Elephas maximus indicus: one gene and its partners. The protein of the gene in region 1 purifies or fractionates together with the protein of each later gene. This does not show direct contact. Links are inferred from orthologs where the notes say so. Each region holds a gene or a part of one and is shown on either strand. Other genes may lie near its edges. The genes, in order: EXOSC10, EXOSC9, EXOSC3 and EXOSC2.

Evidence for each region.
Region 2: the proteins of EXOSC10 (region 1) and EXOSC9 purify together in Homo sapiens (co-immunoprecipitation; 7 studies listed by BioGRID and IntAct, with this or other methods). This does not show direct contact. The link is inferred for Elephas maximus indicus from reciprocal best matches to the Homo sapiens genes EXOSC10 and EXOSC9.
Region 3: the proteins of EXOSC10 (region 1) and EXOSC3 purify together in Homo sapiens (affinity purification with mass spectrometry; 8 studies listed by BioGRID and IntAct, counting the BioPlex papers as one, with this or other methods). This does not show direct contact. The link is inferred for Elephas maximus indicus from reciprocal best matches to the Homo sapiens genes EXOSC10 and EXOSC3.
Region 4: the proteins of EXOSC10 (region 1) and EXOSC2 fractionate together in Homo sapiens (co-fractionation; 9 studies listed by BioGRID and IntAct, with this or other methods). This does not show direct contact. The link is inferred for Elephas maximus indicus from reciprocal best matches to the Homo sapiens genes EXOSC10 and EXOSC2.

What each region holds. Positions count from the first base shown.
Region 1 is NC_064821.1:50,946,808-50,954,947, reverse strand, and holds the start of EXOSC10 (exosome component 10), read left to right. Parts: upstream 1-5,045; 5' UTR 5,046-5,082; coding exon 5,083-5,193; intron 5,194-8,140. Other genes in the region: serine/threonine-protein kinase mTOR, read left to right, coding at 676-691. UniProt on the Homo sapiens protein: Catalytic component of the RNA exosome complex which has 3'->5' exoribonuclease activity and participates in a multitude of cellular RNA processing and degradation events.
Region 2 is NC_064823.1:25,405,220-25,412,762, reverse strand, and holds the start of EXOSC9 (exosome complex component RRP45), read left to right. Parts: upstream 1-4,000; 5' UTR 4,001-4,089; coding exon 4,090-4,155; intron 4,156-4,537; coding exon 4,538-4,632; intron 4,633-5,424; coding exon 5,425-5,544; intron 5,545-5,660; coding exon 5,661-5,763; intron 5,764-7,543. UniProt on the Homo sapiens protein: Non-catalytic component of the RNA exosome complex which has 3'->5' exoribonuclease activity and participates in a multitude of cellular RNA processing and degradation events.
Region 3 is NC_064827.1:46,654,055-46,661,789, reverse strand, and holds the start of EXOSC3 (exosome complex component RRP40), read left to right. Parts: upstream 1-4,628; 5' UTR 4,629-4,692; coding exon 4,693-5,013; intron 5,014-5,752; coding exon 5,753-5,902; intron 5,903-7,604; coding exon 7,605-7,735. Other genes in the region: uncharacterized protein LOC126082813, read right to left, coding at 2,664-2,702. UniProt on the Homo sapiens protein: Non-catalytic component of the RNA exosome complex which has 3'->5' exoribonuclease activity and participates in a multitude of cellular RNA processing and degradation events.
Region 4 is NC_064827.1:81,633,802-81,642,133, reverse strand, and holds the start of EXOSC2 (exosome complex component RRP4), read right to left. Parts: upstream 3,406-8,332; 5' UTR 3,370-3,405; coding exon 3,248-3,369; intron 1,671-3,247; coding exon 1,569-1,670; intron 90-1,568; coding exon 44-89; intron 1-43. UniProt on the Homo sapiens protein: Non-catalytic component of the RNA exosome complex which has 3'->5' exoribonuclease activity and participates in a multitude of cellular RNA processing and degradation events.

The DNA of each region.
Region 1 (8,140 bases):
GGACCCCACCCTGTGCCCCAAATCCAGGATAGCAAAGAAAAATACTGTGAATCTCCACAAAGGGCAATGACAATCCCCGTCTCTTTAATGTATCTCTTCACTGTGTGTGCTCATGGTGCTAAAAAGGAGTTCTTACTTCAATCTCAGCAGACACGACATTAGAACATTCAAAAACGGAGGAATATGGATGCATATTTGAAAGGCAAACAGTGAAATTAAATTACATTAAGAGAAATGATTTAGGATAGTAATTGAGGCTTTTTTTTTTTTTTTTTTGAGAAGGGTTCTTTTTGTGTTCTTGCTGTCAGTTCAGATACAGGAAGGGTAAAGAAAAAGAAATCAGAACAGTGACAGAGAAGGAGATGAAAAGACAGATTTATGATCTGGGATTGTAACTTCAAGGACCACTCTGAGCTCTGCTTTGATTAATTGCCGGAGGCATGCCTGAAGGTAGAGATGGGAGGGAAAGGGCAGTGGGGAGGTGTCCTTCTGGGACCTGACAGGCATCAGCCCTTGATTGGAATAATGAGTGTGTCCCACACAATTAGTGGTGGGAGATCTCAGGGAGCAGCCCAGGGGTTCTCAGACCTTTGTCTTTCCGTTTTCAATGTGTGTGTGTAAAGCTTTGAAGAAGCTCAGATTATTAAAATATTCCTTTTCTGTCTGTCTTCTTAGGTGTCCTTTCTGGTAACTGGAGGCCCAGACATGCCCACAGCATTTCCCTTGAGGCTTTTGTACTTTGGTATATGCTTCCACTAAACTGAAACCATGGTCAGAAAGTTTGACTTTGTTAAATATTTAGAAATGTAAATGAAAAGAACTACTGTACATTACAAGTTGGTTTGTGCCAACTTTCTAGCTGCTGTTGAAGAATATATTCTCAGAAACACAAGGCTTGATTTGGTTCCCAGGACAGTGAAACATGGTGACATCACATAAATCAAGCCATTGACTTGGGGGAACAGAAGATCCATAACTTTAGAAATACGGGTTTTGACCGAACTCACAAGAGAACTCATAAGTGTTTGCTGATAGAAGAATGACCTACTCGTTCCTCTCAGCACAGATACCGCAAACTCCGCGCAGTCAAGAAGCCTCAGGTCGTGGAGGAGACACATTAGGATTCTGGACTGTAAGGAGCTAGGAGAAGCAGAGATCATTACCTTCTTCATCCCATTACCTCACGCGTCCGTGGACAGCAGCAGCAGTGTTTTCAGGATGGGCCAAAATGGGGGGAGAGGTCTGTCTTCTGCCTGACCCAGTGATGCTGCGACTTACACATGTCAACCCAAGACCTGAACCCAAGACCTGACTTGCTAGGAGGGGAGCTTATTCCAATTGCTGGGCAGCCTTGGCTGAGCAGACGCACAGCAGAGATCACAGTGTAGTGAGGTGGCCCACCCCAGCATGGTCCTGGGCGACTTTCAGTGAGGTCTGAATGCTCCACGTTTAGAGCAAGGGCTTGGGGAACAAATGCTGTCACGCAGGTGCTGAACATAGAGGGAAGGTCTAGTACATGTTGGGAATTATGAGCAAAATAAATATTAAACTAAATGCACAAAGTATAAAGTGTAGCCATGTCTAGACACCATGTTGTACCTGAATAATTTTTGTGCCAATAAATGACATGAGAATTTTAAAAACATGTATATGGGTGACTTTTTATTCATAATTATTAGTCAATTCAAAAAGGAGGCATTTATTCCTTCAGCATTCAACTTTCATTAAGCACTTGGTACTAGGGACCAAGAAAGACACAGGATGTACATGACATGGTCTCTTTCTTCAGCATGTTTCCAGGCCAGAGGTTAGGACAGCATAACAGAGTAGTGAACTGATCACTCCACCACAGCTAAGTGCTAAGAGCCATGTACAGAATGTGAGCCATTCCAGCAGGTTAGCCGGGAAAGCCTCATGGGAAAGAGGATATTTGTGATGGGTCTTTAAGGATGAAAAGGAATTTGTCGGATGGAACAAGTGAGGACATTCTCAGCAGGAAAGAAAATGTAAGGCACCGAGGCATGAAAGCACAATACCTTACAGGAATGGCAAGTATTTATTTGAATCAGATGAATTGCAGGTATTTGACCACTGTGTTAGCGGGAGCATGAGGGTCACAAGACCACATCTTTGTATCCCTAGAATCTGCCAAGATCTCGCCCACAGTGGTACTCCATAAAGGTTTGTTAGAAGAACTTGGCATCAGGATTGGAGGAGACTCATTAATAACCTGTGATATGCAGATGACACAACCTTGCTGAAAGCAAAGAGGACTTGAGGCACTTACTGATGAAAATCAAAGACTACAGCCTTCAGTATGGATTACACCTTAACATAAAGAAAACAAAAATCCTCACAACTGGATCAATAGGCAATATGATAAACAGAGAAAAAACTGAAGTTGTCAAGGATTTCGTTTTACTTGGATCCACAATCAACACCCATGGAAGCAGCAGTCAAGAAATCAAATGATGTATTGCATTGGGCAAATCTGCAAAAGACCTCTTTAAGGTGTTAAAAAGCAAAGATGTCACTTTGAGGACCAAGGTGTGCCTGACTCAAGCCATGATATTTTCAATCACCTCATATGCATGGGAAAGCTGGACAATGAATAAGGGAGATCAAAAAAAAAATTGATACCTTTGAATTGTGGTATGGGCAAAAAATATTGAATTATACCATGGATTGCCAGAAGAACGAACAAATCTGTCTTGGAAGAAGTACAGCCAGAATGCTCCTTCGAAACAAGGATGGTGAGACTTCATCTCACATACCTTGGACATGTTATCAGGAGGGACCAGTCCCTGGAGGACATCATGCTTGGTCAATTAGAAGATCAGTGAAGGAGTGAAAGACCCTCGACAAGATGGACTGACACAGCAGCTGCAACAGTGGGCTCAAGCATAGCAACGATTATGAGGATGGTGCAGGACCAGGCAGTGTTTCGTTCTTGTGTACATAGGGTCACTATGAGTCGGAACTGACAGGACGGCACCAAACAACAACAGAGGACTCTTCTGTTAAATTTAGATTTCAATCATGGTACAGATAGAATTTTTAACACAGGAAGTCTCATCTCTATTTTAGATTTTCTATAACAATCCTAAACCATACGTCACCTATTTTGCTGTCAAAAAAATGTGGTTACCATGCTCAGACCACACCTGATTTATGTCTAACCTCATTGGTGCTAGATGAAGTGACTACAATGATGTTACCTTTTATGAAATACAAAGGATATGGGAATGAATGGACTCAGGAAAATGGTTATTAGTGGCAGAGACAAACTCCTTAAAGCATGAGAGTCACTGGGATTAAGATCTTTGGTGAATCCAGTGGGTTTTATGCCTAAGCAAAGCCTTCTGACTTTGTTGAGATGATGGAGGCCTTAAAGACAGCCTAATTAACCCATCAATCCTGAATGGTTTCTTGGAACCCTGAGTAAAGGGAGGAAGGGATATGGCCAAGAATGACTTTCAGGACCCTTCCATCCCTAGGATCCCATAGGCTGGGGCTTAAAATGGAGAAAAAAAAAATATTTTTTTGGAGAGGCGGTATAAATTAGAGTTGAGGCTCTCGTGTCAAATTTTAAAAATCACTGTCAGGTCAATTCCGACTCATGGTGACCTGTGTGTTACAGAGTAGGACTGCTCCATAAGGTTTTCTTGGCTGTAATCTTTACAGAAGCAGATCGACAGGCCTTTCTTCCACGGCACCATTGGTGGATTCGAACCGGCAACCTTTCACTTAGTAGTTGAGTGCAACCCAAATTACCTACTTTCAAATCTCAACTCCACCTCATACTAGCTGTGTGAGAACAAGTTACTTAATCTCTCTATGCTTGTTTCCTTATCTGAAAAGGTGAATAATAGTATGTTCTACCTTACAAGGTTGTGAGGATAAGACAATCCATGTAAAGCACTTAGCAGAGCCTGACATCTGGTATTAAGTTAAACCATACAAAATAAGTGCACAAAAATATCATTACAATGAACTAGGCCTTTGTTCTGTCAGGGTACCTTTGTACCCGAAGTACCCAAATGGGAAAAAATGAAAAGCAAGTATCCTACGTATAGGATATTCTGAATAACAATAACAGCTTACACATTGAGCACTTACTAAGCCAAATGAATTGTACTAAGGGTGTGCCACCCATGCTCTTAGTAGGAACAGTACAGCCCTATGAGTCTCCTGGAGACCGTGTCCTGAGTGCCTCACTCTACAAGGGTTCTACCACTTACTCATTTAACAAATGCTTATTGAGCCCCCACTATGTGCCTTAACAAGAATAGTTCTAGTGGTGTAGATGGTGAACAGTGTCTGACTGGACGGGTTCAGGGAGAGCATTAGCGAATGAGGAAGTCCAGCCGGAGCGTATAGACGTCTCCTTCCAGTTTTCCTACAAAGGGCAAGAGAAATATGGTGGTGACCGGAAGGACATGTGGGGTCGAGTTTTTTTGTTTTCCTTTTAATTGGGAGACATTTCAGCATAAGTGTAGGTCGCTAGGAATAAATCGGTAGCGAAGGAAAAGATGCCACAGAGAGCAGGGATAATTGCAGGGGCCAAGATCTTAAGTGGGCGAGGGGGCACGGTTCCAGAGACTGGTAAACACCAAAAACCAAACCGACTACCGTCAAGTGCATTCCGACTCATATCGTCCCTATAGATCCGAGTAGAACTGCCCCGTAGGGTTTACAAGGCTGTAAATATTTATGGAAACGGACTCCCACGTCTTTCTCCGGCAGAGCGGCAGATGGGCTCAAACCAAGCGCTTTAACCACTCCGTCACCACAGCTCCCTAGAGCTTGGGAAAAAATTGGCTTTAAATGTGAGGATCCTTGTGTCCTCCAGTTCCCATTCTAATCACAGGGTTGTTATGAAGACGTTATACGAAGCTAAAGGAAAATTTAAAGTTCCCTAGGTGGAGCGCTAAGAGCTGACACCGGAACACAAACTCCTGGCTCGCCCCTTCGCCCCCTCACCCCACCTCGAAAAACGGCTGTCGCACTTGCGTCGTGCGCACCCGTCGCGTCGGCCTCAGACACTCTCGCGAGAAAAGAAGCGCCGTGCCAGCCGCAAAAATGGCGCCTCCCAGTCCTAGAGAGCCCAAGGCCCCGTTGGCTACGAGTGCGGCCAAAACCGACCGGGAGATGGTGCTACCCGGCTTCCCGGACGCAGACAGCTTCGTCAAGGTGAGTTCGCGGGGCCTTGGAGGCGCCGGGAGTCGCCTGCGGCCGGCAGGAAGCAGGCCCGGACTCTGCCGCAGATACGGACGCGCGTGGCACAGGGGAGCCCAGGGCGGGGGTCGAGGGGCCGCTGCCGCCGCTGGGCACAGTCCCCTGTGCATCACCCTCCGCGATGAGGTCCTGGACGCGGAAACAGAGCCCTCGTTCTCCCGTTCGGACCCATCCTGCTCCGCCTGTGGAGAGACCTCTTCGCGTCCTGGGCAGGACTTCCTGTCAGTCTGCCGTTCCTAGGCACGGCGACCACCCAGACCCCACGCCCGTGCCTAACCCCTACCCCCGCCGGCGAACTCTCCGGAGCGTCCGGCTGCTACGCATCCCACACAGGCCCAGCGTACTGGCCTCCCGCAGTCGGGATGGGCTTCCCTCTCCTGAGGTCGAGCTCCACAGCGTTTCCAAGCCTTTCGTTAAATGTATTCTGATACAGCTACTGTGAGTCTCCTCCAAGTGATGTACCACATCTGTTAATGCCTCCAACTAGACTGGAAGTTCCTCGAAGCAACACGGAGAGGGTTCATTTAAATTATTTGTACGTTGTTGTTGACCTGTCCTGCGCCATTCCACAGTCGTCCTTAGGCTTGAGCCCATTGTTGCAGCCACTGTGTCAATCCATCTCCTTGAGGGTCTTCCTCTTTTTCACTGACCCTCTGCTTTACCAAGCATGATGTCCTTCTGTAGGGACTGATCTCTCCTGACAACGTGTCCAAAGTATGTAAGACGTAGTCCACCATCCTTACTTCTAAGGAGCATTCTAGTTGTACTTCTTCCAAGACAGATTTGTTTGTTTTTTCGGCAGCCCGTGGTATATTCAATATTTTCCGCTAACACCACAATTCAAAGGCGTCAATTCTTCTGTCTTCCTTATTCATTGTCCAGCTTTGACATGCATAAAATGTGACTGAAAATTACCATGGCTTTTTTTGGGTCAGGCATACCTTAGTCTTCAAGTTATTTGTATAATGCAGCTTAAATATGAACACACATGAAACTAGGTTTAAACAAATTATGCATTGCTCTTACACAGCCATAAAACTAAAATAATATGTAAGTTAATAAGAATTCCCCCAAAATTCCTCACTTAAACTCTAATTTTTTAATAATTTTTATTGTGCTTTAAGTGAAAGTTTACAAATCAAGTCAGTCTCTCACACAAATACCGATATACACCTTGCTACACACTCCCAATTACTCTCCCCCTAAAGAGACAGCCCGCTCTCTCCCTCCACTCTCTCTTTTCATATCCATTTCGCCAGCTTCTAACCCCCTCCACCCTCCCATCTCCCCTCCAGACAGGGGATGCCAACATAGTCTGAAGTGTCCACCTGATCCAAGAAGCTCAGTCCTCACCAGCATCCCTCTCCAACCCATTGTCCAGTCCAATCCATGTCTGAAGAGTTGGCTTCTGGAATGGTTCCTGTCCTGGGCCAACAGAAGGTCTGGGGGCCATGACCACCGGGGTCCTTCCAGTCTCAGTCAGACCATTAAGTCTGGTCTTATGAGAATTTGGGGTCTGCATCCCACTGCTCTCCTGCTCCCTCAGGGGTTCTCTGTTGTTTTCCCTGTCAGGGCAGTCATCGGTTGTAGCCGGGCACCATCTAGTTCTCCTGGACTCAGGATGATGTAGTCTCTGGTTCATGTGGCCCTTCCTGTCTCTTGGGCTCATAATTACCTTGTGTCCTTGGTGTTCTTCATTCTCTTTTGATCCAGGTGGGTTGAGACCAGTTGATGCATCTTAGCTGGCTGCTTGCTAGTATTAAGACCCCAGACGCCAGTTTTCAAAGTGGGATGCAGAATGTTTTCTTAATAGATTTTATTATGCCTTTTGACTTAGATGTCCCCTGAAACCATGGTCCCTAGACCGCTGCCCCTGCTGCACTGGCCTTCGAAGCATTCAGTTTATTCAGGAAACTTCTTTGCTTTCGGTTTAGTCCAATTGTGCCCACCTCCCCCGCATTGCGTGCTGTCTTTCCCTTCACCGAAAGTAGTTCTTATCTACCATCTAATTAGTGAATGCTTGTCTCCCACCCTCCCTCCCTTCCCCCTCTCGTAACCACAAAAGAGTGTTTTCTTCTCAGTTTAAACTGTTTCTTCAGTCCTTGTAATAGTGGTCTTATATAGTATTTGTTCTTTTGCAACTGACTAATTTCACTCAGCATAATGCCTTCCAGGTTCCTCCATGTTATGAAATGTCTCACAGATTCCTCCCTGTTCTTTATCGATGTGTAGTATTCCAGTCTGTGAATATACCATAATTTATTTATCCGTTCATCCATTGATGGGCACCTTGATTCTTTCCATCTTTTTGCTATTGTAAACAGTGCTGCAATAAACATGGGTGTGCATATATCTGTTCGTGTAAAGGCTCTTATTTCTCTAGGATATATTCCAAGGAGTGGGGTTGCTGGATCATATGGTAGTTCTACTTCTAGCTTTTTAAGGAAGTGCCAAATCGATTTCCAAAGTGGTTGTACCATTTTACATTCCCACTAGTAGTGTAGAAGTGTTCCAATCTCTCCGCAGCCTCTCCAACATTTATTGTTTTGTGTTTTTTGGATTAATGCCAGCCTTGTTGGAGTGAGATGAAATCTCATTGTAGTTTTGATCTGCATTTCTCTAATGGCTAATGATCGTAAACATTTCCTCATATTTCTGTTAGCTACCTGAATGTCTTCTTTAGTGAAGTGTCTATTCATATCTTTTGCCCATTTTTTAATTGGGTTACTTGTCTTTTTGCAGTTGAGTTTTTGCAGTATCATGTGGATTTTAGAGATGAGGCGCTGACCAGAAATGTCATAGCTAAAAACTTTTTCCCAGTCTGTAGGTAGTCTTTTTACTCTTCTAATGAAGTCTTTGGATGAGTATAAGTGTTTGATTTTTAGGAGCTCCCAGTTATCTA
Region 2 (7,543 bases), on another chromosome or scaffold:
ACGGTCAATGTGGTCGGCAGATACAGTTCCATGGTTAGCAAGGACAGGTCACACCCACAACTGCTGTTACCATCAACACCAGAATCACGTAAGGTCCAAAAAAAGAAAAACCCGTTGCCTCTGAATCGATTCCCACTCACAGCAACGCCACGTGGTGTCAGGGAAAGGCACTTCTACAAGAAAAAGAGGGGTGCTGGTCAGACAAAGCAACAGGTGTCCACTGAAGAGAAGATGTATATTTGAAGAATTTGTTGAAAATCAGGTTATATTTAGACAGCTCATCCAGGTTAATATGTTGCTTCAGACTGATTTTTTTCATAACAGCAGAATTTGCAATGTTATCTGAACCTCTTTCCAAACTTCAAAAACTTTTTTCCCCCTAAAAGCCGAAAACAAAGGTTCCCTTGGCATTTCAAGAGCTTCTTACTAAGAATAAGGTCCTGAAGCAAACACATTGTACTATGGTATGCAGAGGTAAGTGGAAATGGGATCATATACCTAGGAGTTAACTTCAATAAAAGACAAGTGCTGCAGTGTTAAAATTACAATAATATAATAGTGAAAGTAAGAAATATTGGTAGAAAGTCTACAAAAATCGAAGGAAAAACAAAGGCAATGTAGTCAAGACAGCAATTTGAAATGCCAAATTTGGGAAGACTCACAGGATGGCTTTGCCAAGCCAAAAAAGGAAGGAACCTAATGTTTGAATAGCTACCGTGTCTAAAGCATTGTGCTAGAAGCTTTTACTCATACCACTTAACACACGGTAATTATAATTTTCAAACTAAAGATACAGAAACTGAAGCTCAGAAAGATTAACTCACCAAAGTCCATTTGTAGTCTATCTGAAGTCAAAGTCCACTCTCTTTCTACTACCAAGATGCCTTCCAGAGAAGGATAAACAACTTCAATAAAGGAAGGTCACTTCTAGGAGCCATGGTGGCAGAAACAGTTAAGTGCTCAGCTGCTAACCAAAACGTAGGCAGTTTGAACCCCGCTAGTGACTTCAGGGGAGAAAAGACCTGGCAATCTGCTCCTGTAAAGACTAAAAACAAAACAAAACCCCGTGCCATCAAGTCGATTTCAACTCATAGCGACCCTACAGGACAGAGTAGAACTGCCCCATAGAGTTCCCAAGGAGCACCTGGCAGATCCAAACTGCCGACCCTTTGGTTAGCAGCCGTAGCACTTAACCACTACGCCACCAGGGTTTCCCTGTAAAGATTACAGCCTAGGAAACCCTATTGGGCAGTTCTACTCTGTCATGTGGAAACCCTGGTGGTGTAGTGGTTAAGAGCTACGGCTGCTAACCATAACGCTAGCAGTTTGAATCCACCAGGCGCTTCTTGGAACTTCTATGGGCCAGTTCCACTGTGTCCTTTAAGGGTCCCTGTGAGTTGAAATCGGCTTGACAGCAATGGGTTTGGCTTGGATTTGGTTTACTCTGTCATATAGGGTCACTATGAGTCAGAATCAACTCCACAGCACACAACAACAACAACACATCATTTCTGAAGGAAAAGGGAAATTACTAAATGCTTGCTGAAAGAACCCAAGGATTTAAATGATGAACATAACAGCCAGGAGTTCTGATATAAAATTCTGTACTAGAACTTACATTGTTAAAGATCTTAAATGGCCTGTACCCTGTAATCCCCTTGCCTGTTTTGAAAATTAATAAACTGAGCATGTGGGCATAATTCCTGCCCACTTCCCTCCTTCTTCACAACTCCTCTCTTCACAGTTCCTGTCTCCATGTTGAGCTCATTCCTATCTCAGTTTTTGCACACTTGCTCCATCTGCTTGAAACACTTTTCCTTTCCCCAGATGAAATCATGGCAACCTCCTTCTCACTACTATTAATTAAACTGTCACCTCTACAATGTGAACTTTTCCTGCAACTCCCCATTCCCAAGTAGCACTTACCAGTGTGTGAAATTGTTTGTCTCCTCTGAAGAGAACAAAAATTCCTTGAAGGCAAGAATGTTGTCCACCCCGTTTCTCCTGTGCCTGAATTATTCTTGGGACATAGTAGACCCTCTATAAACAGTTACTGGGTACATGGATTGCAAGAGTTACAAGTTGAGACTACAATGTATCACTGGTAGAAAAAACATGTGAGTAGGAATAAAATAATCATAATCAAGCCTGTGTAGAAATTATAGTACCTGCCACCTCAAAAGCAAAAGGAAGCAAAATAACAAGCAAATATTTAAATAGTGCTTACTCCACACTGGAAACCCTGGTGGTGTAGTGGTTAAGTGCTACGGCTACTAACCAAAGCGTCGGCTGTTCGAATCCGCCATGTGCTCCTTGGAAACTCTACAGGGCAGTTCTACTCTGTCCTATAGGGTCACTGTGAGTCAGAATCGACTGGATAGCACTGGGTTTGGTTTGGTTTTGGTTTACTCCACACCAGGCCTTGTTCTAAGCCATTTACATACGTTTTTGTTGCCTGTGGTCAAGTCCATTCCGACTCATAAACTTGTTGGCATGGAGTACATTCAGATTCATATCTACCTTATAGGACGAAGTAGAACTGCCCCATAGGGTTTCCAAGGCTGTAATCTTAATGAAGCAGATGACGAACCTTTCAGTTAGCAGCAGAACGCTTAACCACTGTGCCACCAGGGCTTTTATTGCACCACCACGCCTCCTTATTTAACATATATTAACTTTTTTTTTCCCACCGCCCATTTCTCAGTTTGTTGTAGTGTTGTGGCTTGCATGTTGCTGTGATGGTGTAAGCTACGCCATGGGTGTTTCAAATACCAGCAGTATTTTGAAACTGGTGGACATGTTTCATGTTTCAAATGAGCTTCCAGACAGAGACAGACTAGAAGAAAGCCCTCTTGATCTACTTCTAAAAATCAGCCAATGAAAACCTTAAGGATCACAAGAGAACACTGTTAAACTCACTTGCTTTGGACATGTCATCAGGAGAGAACAATCACTGGAAGAGGAAACGCTGTTTGGTGAATGTGGAGGGCCAACAAGGGCAGAGGCCCTGGGTGAAACGGATTGACATAAGAGCTGCAATGGACTCAAACAAGCCTCCCCATGGTGAGAATGATGCAGAACCACAAAACTTTTTATTCTGTTGTACATAGGGTCCCCATGGGTTGGTTTGGAGTCAACTCCATGACAGCTTTCGACCTACCTATCCATTTTCCCTAACTTGTTTTTATCCTTCACAATGAATTGGTTTATTACTCCTAATTTTCAGACAAGGAAGGTGAGGCACATAAGTAACTTGCTCAATGCCACAGAACTAGTCAATGGCAGAGCCAGAATTTTAACTCAGGCAGTTCGGAGTTCCTGCTTTTAACTACTACTTAATATTCTCACTCCAAAAAAGTTGAGTGGTTTCACTAAGCCCCCCAAAATAAGTCTATCGGCTTAAAATAAGTTGAGACAATAAGAAATAAACAGTAAATTCAATTTCAGTCGATGGTAACTATAACACCATTAGTTACAATGCAGGAACGTTCTCAAGTCCTGTGAACTCAGTTCCTATGAGGTTTCACTTTCAGTCTTCTATTATACCCAGCTCACCTTCTCAACTTTCTTCTCCCCATTCGAGGCCCATTTCCCCTCTTCCAGGGTTTTTTTTTTTTTTTTTAATCTGGCTGCAAGCTTTGCCTCAGTGGCTTTGGAGTAGACAATCTCAGCTTCCTCATCCGTAAAATTTCACTAATAACTGTTCAGCCTATCCCGCTAGAATTGAGGAAAGGGCGAATTGTGAGAGCGCTGTACTAATATTAGTTAATAGCATTCGGCTGCTTATTGTTTGTGCCCTTCTTTCCTGCCCAGAAATATACAGTAAAAGAGGTGGGAAGATTTTCCTCTGCAGATTCAGAAGCACATCTCTTCTGAAGCCCCTCCGCTTCTCCGAAGCCACTTCGCCCTCCCCAAATTCGCTCTGAGCCTGCGCACTAGCGACGTCTAGCTCGTTTTCCCACCGCCAGCCGCGCTCCTTGATGACGCAAATTTCCGGCGCGGCAGGGTGACCAGGGTGCGTGTGAAGGAGAGCGGGTTTCTCTTTCTCCACGGATACCGGTGCCAGGGTGGCCAGCAAGCCGCTACACCATGAAAGAGACGCCGCTGTCAAACTGCGAGCGCCGCTTTCTGCTCCGCGCCATCGAAGAGAAGAAGGTAAGAGGCCCCACAGACCTGCGCGCTGAGTGGCGCTCCGGTCGCATGGCCGACCTCAGCCTTCCTGTCTAGTCGCGCAGACCTGACCAGCGCTGGGCCGGGATCCCCCGAGGGGTATGGCCGGTGCGTCCCCCTTCCACTCGTTTTTCTGCCCGAACCCGTTCTTTGTAAGGCTCGTGTCACCCGAGTTACTGTCAGTGCCCAGGTGCCTAGTTGTCACTCTCCTGTGGGGATGGAAGAGTTTGTTTTGGTTTGGTTTACGGGGGTGGAGTAGTAAGGATCCCACCACTTTCATCCAGTTGCTTAGACCAGGCTCTGGAATATAGTGGTTGCTCAGTAAATCTTTGCTGAAGGAGTAAATGAACGAATGTTGTGTTTACAGCGGCTGGATGGCAGACAAACCTATGATTATAGGAACATCAAGATATCATTTGGAACAGACTATGGCTGCTGTATTGTGGAACTTGGGAAAACAAGGTAACAATTCAAGTTAGATGTGAGTTCGATAGCGGACAGTGTGTAAAGAACCTTGACTGTTTACAGAGCAGCGGGGAAGTCTGGACAGTACGTTGTTAGCTGCCCAAAATAAGTATATTTTATTTAAGGCAAGATTTTTAGGTATTACAGTTACTTTATTTTTTAATCATAAATGTATTTTCTGTCATACGAGTGTCATATCATTCTTTTTGAGCTCTGTAAATTATATAGACAACCAGCAGTGATTACACTGAATTTGTTTTGGGCACTGCAGTAGCCACCCTTCTTTCACCTTCTAATGTGAGTAATGTAGAGATCCTGAGCATCTTGTCCTTAAGTAGGTCCCATTTTCCTTCTTCTTACATGGCCTGAGAGTTAGATTGGTATGTTCATTTGGAAGTTGTGAGTATATTTGGTCAGGTAATGTTAGCGAACTATGCCGTGTGAAAATTTTTAAGAAATCTCAAATTTTCATGCTGTCTTGATTCAAACTGGAAAGGAGAAATAAAGGTAATTGATTTTTTTAAAAACAGTTTTAAGAATCTATGGAATAGTACCTATTGTAATAAGAGGTTTTTTTTGTTGTTATCCCTTTGGCTGTACCAATATATGTTTTAGTTTTGCATGTATTTTACTACTAGATACGTGGTTTTTACCTTTTATGATACATCAAGCCAAGCATGTTATTACTGAGATAAGATTGAAATTTAATTGGTACCTGTTTTAGATTTCTTTTTTTATTTGGAAAGGAAATATGTTTATTTAATGCATTTGTGTCCTTTATCTTTGCAGAGTTCTTGGACAGGTTTCCTGTGAACTTGTTTCTCCAAAACTCAATAGGGCAACAGAAGGTATTCTTTTTTTTAACCTTGAACTATCTCAGATGGCTGCTCCAGCATTTGAACCTGGCAGGTATTTAAATCTTTTTCTTAAGCTGGTTTAGCTAGAGGGAAACCTAACAGCAGTGAACTATTGTTTTAATGCCTGATATTATATTTCGTGACATTAGTCTATTCCTGTTTTCCTAGGCAGTCAGATCTCTTGGTGAAGTTGAACCGACTCTTGGAAAGATGTCTGAGAAATTCAAAGTGTATAGACACTGAATCTCTCTGTGTTGTTGCTGGTGAAAAGGTGGGGAATATGCCTGAAATTATTAACCTTTGAATGGATATTGTTAATTAATGGGATCCTGTATCTATACCCTCATTTTCAGAGCTTTAGTTAATTCAGTTTGTACTGGTTCACTTTAGTGCAAATGCTTCCATGTGTTCTCCAGAGAGCCTTTTATTATCTCTCTCTGAAGGGACAAAATCATCGTCCTTAAAAGGGAAATGTTTCATTCGAAGAACTTGTGGCTTTTTCGTATCTTTTTTCATTTATTTTCTTATGTTATTTAAGTGTGTTAATAGAAGTACATACTGTTTTCCGATTTTACAGATGGAGAAGTGAAGAATGAATAAAATTCTTCATTTGGGTACATTTATTGATTTACAGAAACCATACAGTGAGTCAGTGGTAGGGCAGAGACTAGAAATCCTGGTCTTAATAAATTGTGCTGTATGGTGATATTAGAACTTTATTCTTTTTTTTTAGTTGGTATTTCTTTCCTGAATTTTCTTTTCTTTTATTACATTGTTGACATGTTTTGTTTAATTGTACTTTAGATGAAGGTTTACAGAACAAACTAGCTTCTCATTAAACAGTACACATATTGTTTTATGATACTGTTTAACAACCTCATGACATGTCACCACTCTCCCTTCTTGCCCTTGAGTTTCCTATTACCAGCTTTCCTGTCCCCTCCTGCCTTCTAGTCCTTGTTCCTGGGCTGGTGTGCCGCTTTAGTCTTGTATAGTTTTATGAGCCTGTCTAATCTTTGGATGAGGGGTGAACCTCAGGAGTGACTTCATTACTGAGTTAAAAGAGTGTCCAGGGGGCATGCTTTCAGGCTTTCTCCAGTCTCTGTCAGGCCAGTAAGTCTGGTCATTTTTTTTGTGAGTTAGAATTTTGTTCTGCATTTTTCTCCATCTCTGTCTGAGACCCTCTGTTGCGATCCCTGTCAGAGCAGTCAGTGGCGGTGGCTGGTCACCATCTAGTTGTACTGGACCCAGTCTGGTGAAGGCTATGGCAGTTGTGGTCCATTAGTCCTTTGGACTTATCTTTTCTAGTATCTTTAGGTTTCTTCATCTCCCTTTCTCCCAAAGGGTGAGACCAGTGGAATATCTTAGATGACCACTCGTAAGACCCGAGACGCTGCTCACCAAAGTAGAATATAGAACATTTTCTTTATAAACTGTGTTGTCAGTTGAGCTAGATGCTCCTCGAGACCATGGTCCCCACAACCCTTAGCGCAGCAATTCGATTGTCCAGGGAGTTTGGGTGTGTCTGTGGAGCTTCCAGGACCTTGCTTGCACAAGTTGTTTTGGCTTCCCCAGTATTGTGTACTGTCTTACCCTTCACTAGAGTTACCACTTACCTATTGTCTGTTTAGTGTTTTTCTATCTCCACCGCTCGCCTCCCTCGTAACCATCAAAGATTGTTTCTTTTTGTGTGTAAAACTTTTCATGAATTTTTATAGTAATGATTTCATATGATATTTGTCCTTTTGTGATTGACTTATTTCACTCAGCATAGTGTCCCCCAGATTCATCTGAGTTGTGAGATGCTTCACAGATTCATCATTGTTCTATATGTTGCATTGTACTCCATTCTGTGTATACCATAGAACTTTATTCTTGACTAGTGTATTTTGTCCAGCTTTTTGACTCCAGAGAAGTCACTTAGCCTTTCTGTTTCTGCATTCAATACATTATTTCTAGCTATTTGCATTATTTTTGTAAGGTTATCGTACCAAACCAAACCAAACCCAGTGCCATCGAGTCGATTCCGACTCATAGTGACCCTACAGGAC
Region 3 (7,735 bases), on another chromosome or scaffold:
GGTGTTGGGCCCTTGGCCCTGGATTCCTCAGTTATGGTGCAGCCCACTGCATGCATAGTCACCATTTGGGCACACTGCATTCAGTCCACTGGACTTGGGGGCAGGTGAACCAGTGCTATCATGCTGATGATCCTGCTGCTTGTTGTGTTACAGACTAATAAAGTTCTCGATCTGACCCACTGAATCTTTCCATACACTTTTGGTACCTACAGAGCTGCAGTAGGTGAACATGCTTGTTTGTTTGGTCATTTCCTTTGGAGTTCTGTTACTTTTTGTTATCCTCTGTGAGGTCGGGGTTCTTTTCCTGACAAGTTCCAGTAGAACATGACTTTCTTCTGCAGGTGATGAGGCAAGCCATGAGAGTTTTGCAGGAAAGAAAGTGAGCTGGATTTTAAAAAGATGGGTAGTAGCCTTAGGGAGGAAGGATGAACGTTTGAAGAGTAAAGAGGGTGATGAGTCAGAAGGTTGTGACAAGGGCCTGAACAGTGATCAAGGGTTTGGAAAAGAGTGGAAAAGAAAGAGCAGGGAGGCCCATTTCTTGGGCTCTGACTCTGACAAAACATTCTCCACTGTAGTTTGGGGACTGAGTTTTTCTTGCAAATGTGTTGCTCCTCACTGCCTACAGGATAAAATCAAAATGACTTAGCAAGTCATATACAAGACCTCATGCTATTCTGTCCTGCAGGAATACTCTATCCCTGCCCTTTCTCCCTCCTCGCAAAGGTAGGTACTGTTATCGTCATTCTATCAATGAGGAAACTAAGGTACAGAGAAGTTAAATAACTATGTACATGGATATGTAATCTATTGATAACTGTGATTATCCCTAAGGAAGTAGAGAGAATGGAGTTTGAAGGGGGACTTTATCCACTTCCTTACTGTTGTATTTTTTAAATGTTTGTTAAAAAGTTTTAAATTATTTTAATTGGTTAAACAGGGTATGAAATGACTACCAAATGGTGACATGACACCTATTACAAAGAGTAAATATGAACTAGAAAACAAAACAAAAAAAACAAACCCACTGCTGTTGAGTCGATTCCGACTCATGGGACAGAGTAGAGCTGCTTCATAGGGTTTCCAAGGCTGTAAATCTTTACGGAAGCAGACAGCCACATCTTTTTCCTCTGGAGCCGGCATGTAGGTTCCAACTGCTGACCTTTCAATTAGCAGCCAAGCACTTTAACCACTGCACCACCAGGGCTCATTTCCTTATTGTAGTTTTGAGTATTTGCAATTGGTTTTATGTTGTGATACACCAGGACCAAGCTTAAATGCCAGCCAAATAAGAAAGAACCTAGCTTGTAATGTAATTTAGTTCAGATGGGAGTGTGGGGACCATACAAAATTTTATGGAATTGCTAACACATACAAAACTATTTGGTAAGGGGAAAAAAAAGTTTCCTTATGTTTTACTTTCTCCCATAAGTCCTAGGTTTAAGAAGTTATGATTCTTTGTGATTAAAAACATCTGTACATTTGTGTAGCGGTAATTGTAAGCACTTATGCTTTTAGATTATATCTGTATTTGAGTAATACTAATGATTACTTCCACTGACTCTTTTACTAACAATTTCTGTATATAAATCAACGTAGGTTTCATTTGTAATTTTTAGAAACCAGTAAACTAAAAAACTTTCAGGTTTCACTTAGGAATCCCCTCCACTGGAATACCTACCCTGTCCCCTGCCTTCCCCTGAGACTTAAAAAAAGAAAAAAAAAAAATTGTTGTCAAGTTGATTCCGACTCATAGGGACCCTAAAGGACAGGGCAGAACTCCCCCATAGGGTTTCCAAAGAGCAGCTGGTGGATTCGAACTGCCAACTTTTTGGTTAGCAGCCGAGCTCTTAACCACTGCGCCATCAGGACTACCCAGATAGAGGTAACTATTTCATCCTGTGACACCCCAATCAGGTTTTTACTGGAGCCACCATAACTCATCAGTACTGTCATGTGTAGACAGTGAACTTGCCCAGGGCAGAAATCAGGATTCAACTGACTCCTCAGCTCAATTCCTGGCCCACAGCAGATGTTCAACAAGTGTTTTTGATTGAAAAAGGGGGAAAAAAACCCAACATTACCAGTCGAAAAAGAAAAGCAACCATGAAAAGCTACTCTTCCAAAGTCCAAAGTTTCTAAAGACGCGGTTCTGGGAAAATATCCGGAAAGCCACGATCAACCTTTCGACAAGGCAATTGGCAGTTCCCCCAGGGAAACAGTCAGAAAAGGGAAGAAAGAGGTATGCCAGAAGGCACTCGACTTGATGCCACCTCTACTACACTGGCACCAAACCAGTAGCACCCAAACAAAGAGGCCTAATCCACCTGGATCGATCAGGCCTGTAAAAGTCACACGTACACGGCCTGTGGGTGGAACGTGGTCTCGAGGCCAGAAAGCGCACACCGACTGCCCGGGGCCACCTGCTTCTTCCATATTCTGCCAATCGCCGTGGCCACTTTTACAACCAGAAGAGACACTAAGCGTTATTATGAGATCTTTGTAACTGCAACACCAGGGACCCCAAGAAAGGTCTCACGCTCCCCAGAATTCAGGGGCCGTGAGCTCGAGCCAGGTTCTACACACTCGCTCGTAGCCTCAGTCTCCCACCTCCACGCGAGTGGATACCCGAATCCTGGGGGCTCTGCCCACGCGCTCTCACTCACCGGCTGGCGCAGGACGCCAAGGCGGCGAAGCACCGACATCGTGGCTCGCTGCGTAGTAGGCAGGCTGCCTTCTCACGTGCACCACGCCCCCTCGACACCGCCCCTTCTGGGTGTGTCGGGGTGGGCGTCTCCAGGGAGGCGCTGATGACCCGCCCCGTCTGCCCCGGCTTCCAGCCTCTAAGTGACCTCACTCTTCAGGGCCTCTGTTGCTTCATCTATGTACTTGGGAATGACCCAGACGGATCTCGAAGTGTTGCGCTCACAGGGAAGTGGACTTGAAAGAGCTCCCCTGGCAGGTTTGGGCTGATTTTCTTCCAAACAACCCACAACCAATGTAGGGTGCGTGAGGAACAGTGCAGGGAACGTTTCCCGGCCTCCCTCTGTACCCGGCCTCAGCCTAGAGTCACTGAGAATCCTTCTGGAATGCCCTTAGACTGGACAGGATTGAGACCGAATACCTACTGGTTCTAGGCCCTCTGTAGCTGGGTTTACGTAGGGAGGAGAGAAGCAGAATTTATACCCTTTTTCTCCCGAGAGCTCCTACTAATGCCAGGAAAACTGACCAAAAACAGTTCTTACAAAAATCTGACTGCAAAGCAAAAGTTGGCCTCTCATGACATCTGAGGAAAATGGCACGCCAGCATCCCACCAAATTTGGGTCGTGTGTTAGAGATTGTCTGTCTTAAAAACACCTTAGAATTCTAAAAAATTCACTTTGGAAGTGGGTGCCTCAAAAGATGCGAAGAAACAGAAACCCAGAAAAAACAAACCAGTTGCCCTCGAGTTTATTGTGACTCATAGCTATCCTATAGGACAGAGTAGAACTGCCCCATAGGGTTTCTAAGGGGCTGCAGGTGGATTCATACTGCCCATCTTTTGATTAGCAGCCGAGCTCTTAACCACTGCGCCACCAGGGCTCCAAAGGGGCCCCTAAAATTCATCGGTCAGAGCGACGCCCTCCCAATTCCCAGCAGCTCTCACAACTGCTGGAGAATCTGACCAACCACTAATTGGAGGTGCCAGTTGACAGAGAAAACAGTGATTTCAAATAATACCCCTGAGTCATAAGGGCAGGAAGCCTTGAAGTACTATGAATTTGCAATTCAGCTGCTTCTTACATGGGCAACCAAAGTGTTGGTTCAGGGTAAGTAAAACCTACCTACTGCCATCGAGTCGATTCCGACTCATAGCGACCCTGTAAGACAGAGTAGAACTGCCCCACAAAGTATCCAAGGAGCACCTGGCGGATGTGAACTGCCCCAGGGTAAGTAGCAGCAGGGATTCAACTGTAGTTAACTGATTTTCCCACGTCATGTAGGTGTAGCTCAATTATGTGAAACTGTGCATGTGATGTGTATATTTGCAGAAAAATAAGTCTAGCGAGAATACACACCAAAATGTTAACATTCATTCATCCAACACGTGTTACCTATTTCACGCCAGACCCTGGGCTACAAAGAGTCAGAACTAGGGCTGACGGTCTAGCTTGAGACAAACGGGTAAAACCAAGAAGTTATGTTTATTAATTCTGTGTTTTCCACAATGCGAATAAACGCCTTCTTGGCAACAACCAAAAAGGTTTTAGTTTGGAAAGAAAATACCTCTCCTGGTAAAAGGTCAGCCACCGTTCTGAGGGCAGGCTCGAGGCGAAGGGACTATGAGTCCACCCGACCCCCAACTCTGGAAGCCCCTCTGTTCAACTCCCAGGATTCCATACAAGGGAGTATCTTGTATCTCACGGTGCGACCGGCCACAAGACACGCGGCCCGAGACACCCGGAAGTCCAGGCTCCGCGGTCTACTCAAGCTGAGCGTTTCTCATAACACCCGGAAGATAGACAACTGACCAGGAGGAACCACAACCACCTTGGGGGTATCCGCCGGCTCACGGCGATTTGGCTTCACAGACGTAGGAACCACTCCCACTGACCCGTAGCGCCGGAAACGGAAAGTGCTGAGCGGGCTGGCGATTGGGCGCAGAGCCGGAAGTGGAAGCACGGTGCCGGAATTGGTGTTTGGTGGCGCCTGGTATGGGTGAAGCTGCGGCTATTGCGTCCGAATCCCTCGCGGGCAGTAAGGCCCGGGCGGCGCGCACAGTGTTAGGTCAGGTGGTGCTCCCGGGTGAGGAGCTGCTGCTGCCGGAGCAGGAGGACGCAGAAGGCCCTGGCGGTGCTGGGGAACGACTGCTGCGCCTCAACCCCGGGGCGCGTTCGCGGGTGCGCGTAGTGTGCGGCCCGGGCTTGCGGCGCTCTGGGGACCGTCTGCTGGTCACCAAGTGCGGCCGCCTACGTCACAAGGAGCCCGGCGGCGGCGGCGGCGGCGTTTACTGGGTGGACTCACAGCAGAAGCGGGTGAGCTGGGGCTCCGGAGTGATATCCCTATCCAGCGAGAGTGGTATCCCTATCCTGGGGAACTTCCTGGAAGAGAAAAAGGAGGGGACCCTGAAACACCGTCTGTCATTTTGAGATTGTGCCCACCTTCCCATCTCCTTTGAGGGACCGTGAGCAACAGGAACGTGGCCAAAGAAGGGCGATCAGGGGAGAAAGGCGTGTGGAAACCTTAGCATATAAGGGAGATAAGGACTGTGACATATGGCCATTGTCTTCAAAACCCCAAAGGTCAGGGAGCGACACACTTGTTCTTTGAGGCCCCAGAGGACAGAATCAGGCTTGATGAGTGGATATCATCAGGAGTTAAATTTCTCTCAGAATAAGTGAGAACTTTCTCGTAGGCAGAATTGTCGAACAATGGATTGGGCTTCTTTGGTAGTAAGGAACCCTGTGCCACTGGATGTAAGTGCAAGCAGAAGCCGGAGACTTTCTGGTAAGGGTGCTGAAGATGGTATTCAGGTATGGCATACTGGCACCAATTAACAGACTTTTAGAAGCTGCAAGCTTGAGAGAATATGATGTGACTGGTTTTCATTTACTGAAAGTGGTATGTGATAAAGTTTGTTGTAAAGTTTCTATAAATAACTTGAATTGCAAAATATTTTCTAAACATTTTAATGATAATCATAACAAAGTAAACACTAAGGACTTGCTGGAAAAAATTTAATTTGTGGCTGTTCTTTCATGTTTTCTTTTGTAGTATGTCCCAGTGAAAGGAGACCATGTGATTGGCATAGTGACAGCTAAATCTGGAGATATATTCAAAGTTGACGTTGGAGGGAGTGAGCCAGCTTCTTTATCTTACTTGGCATTTGAAGGTGCAACTAAAAGAAACAGACCAAACGTGCAGGTAATGATGGGGGCCTTTGGTTTCAAAAGTATAAAAAAAATAAACCCATTATCTAGAATACAAAAATATCCAGAAGGCTACTGAACTGTTGCCAAAGCGTGACCACTTTTCCTAGTTTTATAGGATGATCTCTCAGGCTTCCAAGAGTTCCTTCAGGTGCTTCAGCTCTTGAACTAGACTACATATGTGTTTTATGTTTGCAACATTTGTTCTTGGAATGTTACATCTCTACTGCATTGAAAGGTTTTATCTGTTATCTCCAGTATCACGGGCATTGACCAAGGTAGTCAGCAATAGGCTCAGAGAGGGAGAATGGACAAGTGGCACAAATTGCCGTATCAGCCATCCATCCATCCTGGTTGTAGGCCCTGGGACAGGCATCTCACGGTGTAGCCATACTGCCCTCTGTCCATCCAAACCAGAAGTTGAGTGGTTTCTTTGCCCCTTCTAACTCCTCGCATGTTCTCAGTTGCTTTATTGTTTCTCTGATCTTCATGTCTACCCCCTTTATCTCAACTTTGCGAGTTCAGGCCTTGCTACCCTTAACTGGCCTTGGTCAGTGACCTCATTAACATCCCTGCCTCCACACTCTCATCCTTCCATCTAGGCTTTTCAGAGCTGACATCCTTACATACTCCCTTTCTCAAAACATGAATGTTCTTCAAAGCCTAAAGAATTCCTTGGCATGACACCCCAGGGGTCTTGCCTCATCCATAATTATATCTTGCATACAGCCATGCTTGAGCCACACCAGAGTATTTGATAGCACCACTAAACCCATAATTTCCTGCCCTTGTACCTTTGCTGATGCTGTGCCCTCTGTCCCTTGTACCTCCGCTCAGGCTTTATCTGTGGGACATGCTCATTCTTCAAAACCCAGCCAAACACCAGATACCTCTGTAAAGCCATCTCCAATCTTGAATCACTTTAACTTTGTTCTAGCACTTACTGGATTCCGGTTTGAATGAAGTTTTTGTTCATATGTACATCCTAACTGCCCCCAAAGACCAAATGTTTCTGAAGGGTAGCAAATGTTTTGTTCATCTGTAGTTCTCAGAGTCAGTGTTTTGTTGAGCAAACAGAACAAGTTCACTGTCTTTCCTCAGTATTATCATTTTGAAGTTCCACTGCATGAGATTTTTAAGTAAACCTTACATGGAGAAATATCAGTGGCTTATCGTTGCTCCAGCTATTTTGCTTGAGCATGCCAGGAATTCCTTCCTCTAGCCATAAACCTTCTGGAATCCTAATAGAACTTTCTGTGATGATGCTAATGTTCTGTACCTTCACTGACAGCCACTGGCCACATGTAGTTATCAAGGACTGAAATGTGGCTAATGCAACTGAGGAACTGAATTATATTTTAATTAACTAAATTTATTAAATTTAAATGTAAGTCTAAATAGGCACATGTAGCTAGCGGCTAACATAAGGAACAGTGGAATCCCAGAGTATGTTGTCTGGCCTTGGCATTGCTCCCGTTTGGGGATTTCCTGGTGTTTTAAAGGGTGAAGGTACATGTGTTAATACTGTCTTCTTTTAAGACTCAATTCCAAAGTGACTGGATCCTCAAGTATAGTCAGTCCATTAGCCACAGAACTGTAGGTAGCTGCCATTGCTGCCTGTGTGTGGGAAAGAACCAATGGCAGGACCTGTAGGATGGTTTCTGAGATGAAATGAGCTGTTTTTTTGATTATTGTAGGTTGGAGATCTCATCTATGGCCAGTTTCTGGTTGCTAATAAAGATATGGAACCAGAGATGGTCTGTATTGACAGCTGTGGACGAGCCAATGGAATGGGCGTGATTGGACAGGACGGTCTGCTTTTTAAAGT
Region 4 (8,332 bases), on another chromosome or scaffold:
TCACCAGCTTGCCTTTCGAAAATCAATCTGATATCAATTTTACCTCTGTGATTCTCCCCACTACAATGTCTCCTACTTCACCATTATATCTGAAAGATAAAGCAAAAGGTCATCAGCGAACAGATTGTCTTACATGGCCAAGCACCATTTGAGATTTCAGTTACAACTGGATGAGGGCCTGATTAGGCACATTTAGCAAACTTACCTAACTAGGCTGTTCAGACTTATTTTCAGAAATTGATAACGCCAAACATTCCTACATGAATAAATTCTCTGTTAACTATTCTTAAACAAACTACTTATTGCCAAGTGGTTTAATAAGCCTGAAATCCCTATTTTATTAGGTCAATGTAAAGGATAGAATGTTTTCCTGTGGGCTCTGCACCAGCCAGAAGAGGAAAAAGGAGATTCTGAGACAGGATGCCACCCAAAGAGGCACTGATGCCAGTTAAATGGGCCTACTCGCCACCTCTCCTACCCGATGGCTGCCCTTTCGCAGGCCTCTTTGCTCTGATTCTAATGATGATATGTTCCAATGCTCAAGGTCAGTCCCTGGGCCTCTTCACTTTTCAGTTCACACTCATCTCTTGGTAAGTTCATTCAATCTAATGGCTTTAAATACTACTGATGACTACCCCACACACTCCATTTTAATGACTAATAGGCATTTTCAAATTTAACAAGCCCAAAACTAAGCTTGCAAGCAACCTCCTCTTCTCCTCTCCCCATCTCAGTAAGTGGTGACTTCATCCCACCAGATGCTCAAGCCAAAAACCTTGGAGAGGCATCCTTGATTCCTTTCTGTTTCTCATGCTCCATGATCAGTCCAGCGGCAAATCCTGCTAGCTCTACCTTCAAAATATATGCAGAATCAAATCACTACTCCCATTTCCACTTCTACTACTTCATTCCAAGCTACCCATTACTTCAGATGAATTCATCTTCCTAAATCTGCCCCGATTCCCCTTCAACTTCCTCATAGCAGCCAGACCAAAAAAAAAAAAAAAAAAACTCAGTGCCGTCGAGTCGATTCCGACTCACAGCAACTCTATAGGACAGATTTTATTAAAATATAAGTCGATCATGTCCCTCCTCTGCTCTACCCCTCCAATGTCTTCCCAGGTTACGCAAAGTGGAAGCCAAAATGCTTACAATGGCCTACAAGGCAAGCCAGACTGTCCTCCCACCTCAGCTCTCTCTCTGCCTGTATATGCTCCTACCGTCCCCCTCACTCACTGTTCCTGGGGCTAACCTTTACTTAGCCCTTCTAGGTACTAGGCTCTGTGCTAAGTATTTTACATAAATTCATCGCTTCGCTAAATTCTAACAAAAATTCTAGAAGGCAGTTTGTGTTTTTATCCTCATTTTGCAGAGGAAGTAACCAAGGCTTGGAAAGGTTAAGTAATGGGGGAAAACCTTACATATAATCTCCATACAATCTTTCTTACAGTCATGTTCAAAATCACAGACTCACAAAATGATAGGGCAATTGGGAGGAGGGAGACAGAATAGACTTGGTCACACAATATGTTGTCTCAAGAAAGAGAATACACACCTTTTGTCCTCACCTGGTTTTCAAAGCTTTCACACAAATCAACTTGTTTACTCTCTCCACAGAGCCAGCCACAGATGCTATGAGCTTCTCTTCCCCCATATACGTTCCATGACCCCTGTTGCAAGATACAGATACAAAGGATACTAGGGTAACACTTGAGGTGACCTCTCCCCTCAAGAACAATGTGTTCCTCAAACCTAACACGCTCCTTCTGCCTTAAAGCCTGGCTTTTGTACTGGTTACTCTACGGGCCTGCAACACTGCCTCTCCAGAGAGCTACACGGACGTCTCCCTCATCTTCGAGTCTGTTCAAACATCACTTTCTCCATCTGACCTACCTCATTTAAAACAGTAATCCACTCTGCTGCCCATACCACCACATTCCCAACCCCATTCCAATGACCCTGCTCTGCTTTTTGTTTTATTATTGCACTTTCACCAAACATTCTGCACAATTTATTTATTTGTTGTGATTACTTAATTATTATCTGTCTGTCCCTGTTAGAATTTAAACTCCGCCAGGACAGAGATTTTCATTTTGTTCATTGTTGTACCCCAACCGCACATAATATAAATGTATCGAATGCCAAGAACGCAGGAATGAGTTTTAAGATTTCCGAGAATTCAATAACCTCAAACTGGGCAAAAAGGTGGCGTAGTGGTTAAGTGCTATGGCTGCTAACCAAGGGGTCAGCAGTTCAAATCTGCCAGGTGCTCCTTGGAAACTCTATGGGGCAGTTCTACTCTGTTCTGTAGGGTTGCTATGAGTCGTAATCGACTTGACGGCAGTGGGTTCGGTTTTTTGGTTTTGGGCAAAAAGGCAATGTTGTAAATGCTGTATTCCTCATATATGTACATGTGTCTCCCCCACCCCCTGCAAAAAAAGAAACAAACAAACCAACTAAAATGTTAATAGTGTTTAAGGTGGGATTATATAGGGTCGCTATGAGTCGGAATCTACTCAAGGGCAATGGGTTTGGTTTTTTTTTTTTTTTGGTTTGGTGGGCTCTGTTTCTCTTTTTCACATTATAATCTCATTTAATCCTCACTACCTTCCCAGATAGCTACTGTCATCACTATTTTACAAACGAGGAAATAATGTTTCAGGAGATAATGCCGCTAATAATAAATGATGGCAGCACGACTGGAACCAGGACCGTTTCACTCAAGAGCCTGCCCTGTTAACCATAACAAACTACATTGCCTTTAGGTCAAAGATTGTATATTCCGATGCATGTAGCACAATATATTTGTCTGCCTTAACCCAAACTACTGACTCCAAAACCCAGCCCCTGGTCCCAAGATGACACTGAGGGAGATGGAAGCCAAATCAGAAACGCCCACCGTTCTCCTGAAAACTGGAAAGAGGCCCTTGTTCCAGACTCTCCCCAGTTTTCCAGGTCTCCAACGAGGAAGGCTTAGAGATCTGGGCCAAAGGCAGAGGACCCGAGAGACCACGGCCACCAGAGGTCAGGAGAAAAGGGCTTCAGGGGGCTGAGACAAACGCGAACACACAAAACAGAGAGTGAGAAGCCCGAGTCCTCGGAAACCCGGGGACTGGGGTGCTCTGGAGATCTGCGCTGAATGAAGGAAGGGCTTAGACTCTGCAGGCCGGGGTTTCGGACTAGTAGGCCACGTGCTGAGCCCTGCACTCGCTCACTGGAGTCCCGAGTCCCCCAGGTCCCTACATACCGCATGAAGCCCGTGTCTGTAGTGATCGTGTCTCCCGGCACTACCAGGTGTTTTTTAGTCTCGCGACCCAGGCTCTCGCTGAGAGGTTTGCGAGCCACTGGAAGTCTCATCTCCATCGCCATCTTGGCGCCAATGACTTGCGCAGGCGCAACCGGGCCCGGAGCCACGATATCCGTCCCCGCGATTCCCCGCGGACGCTCGCAGGGGCGGGGCAGAGCAGGGCCTTTGAGAAGCCGCCAATAGGCGGTCACGGGCTGGCGGCCATGTTGACTAGTGGCAACCCTTAGGTTAACTTGAAGGGAAAGAGGAGCCGAATTGCCATGTTTACTATTGGCAAGGCTGCGCCAGTGAAATAGCAAAGTTTCACGTTGTGTGACGCCTGGATTTTTACCAAAACTGCCTCGTACACACTATCCCGTTTACTGTTTACCAGGATTAGAGATATTTGAGAAATGGACCTCTGAGTTTCCTGACAACTCTAAGCCGCTAAGAGTCTGGTTCTTTTTTTTGTATGAAAGAATCTAGAAAGATCCATAGGTAAGATCTACAGAAAATAGTATTGGACAATAAGGAGAGCCCCTTTCCACATCGTTCCTAGTGGCTTATTTTACATTACAGCCAGTATTTTACATTACAGCCCCCGTGTAGGTTGCTGGTTCGGCACCAACCATCAACTCCTCCCAACAATGTTCCGCATTGTTCACTGGTTTTCTACTTTCCTTGTAACGTTCTTTGAGTGAGCTGATTTACTTTAACATTTCTTTTGAAAAAACAAGAAACTGTCTTAAAAAAAACCAGTCAGACCTTGCAGGGCAGGTATGTTTGGCAAGGAGAGCAAGTGCCCACATAACACAAAGATTCTCACCTGTATTTATACTTCTTGTGAATTGGCGCTTTCTGTGTGCCAGGCATCTTTCTAAGGATGCAGCGAACATGTGTATGTGGCTTCACCTCCACGTCCTACTTAATGCGAGCATTTCCCTCACCCATTTTTCCTGCCCCCCACTATGCTCTCCCTGGCCCTTGTCCTTCATGGTTTATAGCACAACAAACTTGTGTTTCAGCCTCGGGAAATTGGAGATTATAATTCTTCATGCACAGGGACCATTAAAAAAAAAAAATTTTTTTTTTTTTAAGGATTAAATGGAAGAACTGCCTGCATTAGCCACATACTGCTTGCTCTACTCAGTAGATCAGGCCCGCTGCTTCCTGAAGTTTTATCAGATCAATTGTTTTATGAATTTCCAAAAAGAGGACACTTCTTTCACCTAAGCAAGGCTCATGACTACCAACCCTGTGAGGCAATCTCTGATATAAATGCTAGAGCTCTGCTGGTCATTGGACAAGTGGGCAGGTCAGACCCTCACCCTCCTCCCTACCTTGAGGAAGGCACTGGAGCAGAAGAAAGTACAAGGGCCCATCTGTTGAGTCAAGCCTTGGCCATAAGAGGGCAGTGGTGCCCTGCGAGCCGACAGAGCCCAGCCAGTTCAGAGCAAGATTCTGCGTGCCCCTAGACCAAGGGGTGGGGTATAGTCTTGACATCTTGTTTTACACTAGGAAGGATGAACAAAACCTTAACTCCTTTAATTCTCACAGCACTCCTAGTTTACAGAGGGAGCCCTGGTGTTGCAGTGGTTAAGCACAATGGGCTGCTAACAGAAAGGCAGTTTGAACCCAACAGCCACTCTATGGGGGGAGAGATCGGCAGTCTGCTTCTGTAAAGATTTACAGCCTTAGTAACCCTATGGAGGGAGTTTTACTCTGTCCTATAGGGTTGCTATGAATTGGATTTGACTCAAGGGTAACAGGTTTTTTGTTTGGTCATCACGTTGGTATTAAAAGTGATTGCTGCGGAGTCGACTTTAAAGCCAAGTGTGTCAGTGTAGAATGGATGCTTTCTTATAGATGCACAGGGACTATACAGAGGATTAAATTATCAAAAAGGATGAGAATTCACACAGCAGATGGTGCCAGAGCCAGTGTTCCAACTGTACCTGCCTTACTCCGGGGCCTGCACCGTTTGCTAAACGTTTCCCAAAGGCCCGGGCCTTTGCTGGGCACTTTAAAAACATTGTGTTATTGATTCCTCACAACAACTTGGCCCATCATGGAGGTAGGCATTGTTAGTTCTGACAGTCATTTGGGGCCGTTAAGTCCCAAAAACAAACTGGCAGCTGGCCTTCCCACCCCAGGCTCTGCTCACTCTACCACACTTGCCTCTTCACTACCTTGTGGATGAGTAGACTCAGGAAACATGGCTGCACGTCCCAGAGGACTTGTTGAAAATACAAGCTCCAAGCCCAGATTTAGGCATTGAGGCTTTACAAGCGTGAGGCCCGCAGGTCTATCAGTATGTGTTTAACTCCCCATGTGATTTTAATCGTTGGTCATTTTAATTCTCGGATTCCTCCATCTACATCTCAATCTGTGCATCTCTGTGGCCACTACTCCAGGCCAATCAGTGTCACCACTCACTCGAGTGGCTACAATAACCTCCTAGTTTGCCTCTCTAATTGTGTATTTGCCCCTTCTACCATTTAGTCTCTGTACAAGGGCTAGAGGGATATTTTTAAATCAGATCAGATTAAATTTCTCCCTGCTTAAACTTCTGGTGGCTTCCCCTTACACTGAGAATAAAATCCAAACTCATCATCCTGGCGTTGAGGCCCTGTGGGACCTGGCCCCTGCCTGTCTCTGACCTCATTTGCCTATATATCTGTGCATAAACTTTGATTTCCACCCACATAACGTTCCTGCCCTGAGGCAGCCTTCTCTACATAACATCCCTACCCTGGGGCAGCCTTCTCTAGCCAGGAGCCCAGGAGTGGGGGGCCTGTCTTACAAAACAGATGTCAGGTGGTCATGGGTGGGAGCTATCTAGTCACACTCCATAATTTTCCCCACCCAACCACAGACACATACTCCTAGTGGGCCAGTTCCAAAGCAGGAAAGAAGCTGAAAACTTAGGATATATGATCCTCCAGTTTGAGAGACCCAAGGGTCATAAGTATAGAAAACAGTTGGGGGAAAGGGGTTTAACAGCTGCCTCAGATGCCCTCTTGGGGGTGTCTACAACCCCTGGCACACACCAAAGCATTCTTTTATTAATAACAGCTCCCATATATTGAGCATTTACTATGTACTGGACACTGAGCCATGTACTTTATTCATTTATATGCATTATTCCATCTAATCTCACAACATCCTTAGGAGCTAAGTATCACTCCATTTTCCATGTGAGGGAACTGAGACATAGAGACGTTAATTGACTTGCCCGAATTCACACAGCTAGTGAGTGGCACAGCTGGGATTTGAACCCAGCCTCTAGAGTCCTTCTACTACTGAAAGTCCTGGTCGATGACATAAGGCAAGAGAAAGAAATAAATGGCATCCAATTAGAAAGGAAGAAATAAAACTCTCTTTATTCACAAGCAACATGATACTGTACGTAGAAAGTACGAAAGAATCTACAAAACGCCACAGGAACTAATAGGTGAGTTTTACAAGGTCACATGAAACAAGGTCAGTGTACAATGCTGGTCTACACTGCACCCCTATGGGAAATGCAGCAGGTCCTTTGGACTGAATCTGTGGACTGAATGGGAAGTGGTGTGCCCTAAAGCTCCTGAGAGTCAGATGCCTGTGGTGGAACCCTGCTCTGCCACTCTTCCACTGAGTGATGTGGGCAAATGACTTGCTCTCTCTATGCCTCAGTTTTCTCATACCTCAAATGGACATAAAAAGAGCATTGGCCTTGTGGGGTTGTTGGCAGGGTTCCCAGAATGCATGCATCTAAATCCCTAAGCCTGGGCTGGCCCACAGAAATTGCTGTGATTGTGTTCACATGCTTTTGTCCAGGGAGTGCACGCTTGGGAAAGGGGGTCAAGGTCTCTGCTGGAAATGCAACCAAGGTGAGAGATAAGGCTTTCGGCGTCAAGCCTCCCAGCACCATGAGCCCTGTTTGTTCATCCTTGTTTCCCCAGTGCCTAGCACAGGCCCTGACACGTGTCTGTAGAAGCAGGTCAGCTGGCAAGCCAGTGGCACCTCGGTCTGCAATTACAGCTCACTGCCACCAGGTGGGTTCTGGAGCCTGGGTTGTGGCCCTGGTGTTAGCTGGGACTTAACTACCTATGGAGAACAATTTAAATTTTTGATCAAGGACGCCACTGACTTCTCTGAAGTCTGACTCCTGCAGGTTCTTCAGAAAGCCAGCATTTTACCTTATTTGGGCATTACTGTCTGGGAGGCATGAAGTGTGAGCCATGATGGTGTTTAATTCCACTTCACCCGTCATCATCCAGAGGGAAGGGGCCTCGGGACATACAAACTTTGGCTGTGGGGACAAGATGCCTGGGTGGGGGAGGCAGTGTGTGGAGGGTGGTACCAGGGGCTACCAGAGGCTTCGAAAGCCTAGTGGAGAGGCGTCAAAGGAGAGGCACTAGGCGAATGCATAGAGACAGAAAGTGGAATCGAGGTTACCAGGGTCAGGGGCAAGGGGTAATGTGGAGTTATCGCCTAATAAGTATAGAGTTTCTGGTAAGGATGATAAAAAAGGTTTGTAAAACTCACTTATTGGAAATAGCGGTGATGGTTACACAACATTGTGAATGTAATTAACATTACTGAACTGTACACTCGAAAGTGGTTAAAATGATAAATTTTGTTATATACATTTTACCACAATAAAAAAAAAAACTACCAAATAAATAACTGTATGAATAAAACTGGCTGCCTGTTTAAAAAAAAAAAAAAGGAGAGGCGAAGTTTGTGACCGGGGGTGGGAGGAATATCAAGGATGGCTCTGTCACCAGCCAGAGGCAGGAAACCCCAGATGGAGCCTGCATGTGAACACATCAGTGTACTTCCCTGCCTGTGCCCCACCAGCCAGGGCATGAGATGACTCCCACAAAGGAGGGTGTATGTGGGAGTACCATGTGAAGCTCCAGATGGAGGTGACCTGTGTGTCCAAGTATGAATTTCCAAGTTTTTGCAGGGGTATGTATGTGTGCATGTGCACACATCTGCAGGAGGATGCAAGGAGAGATGTACCCACAGGAAGCCTCCAGGCATGCTCACCCAGCGGGT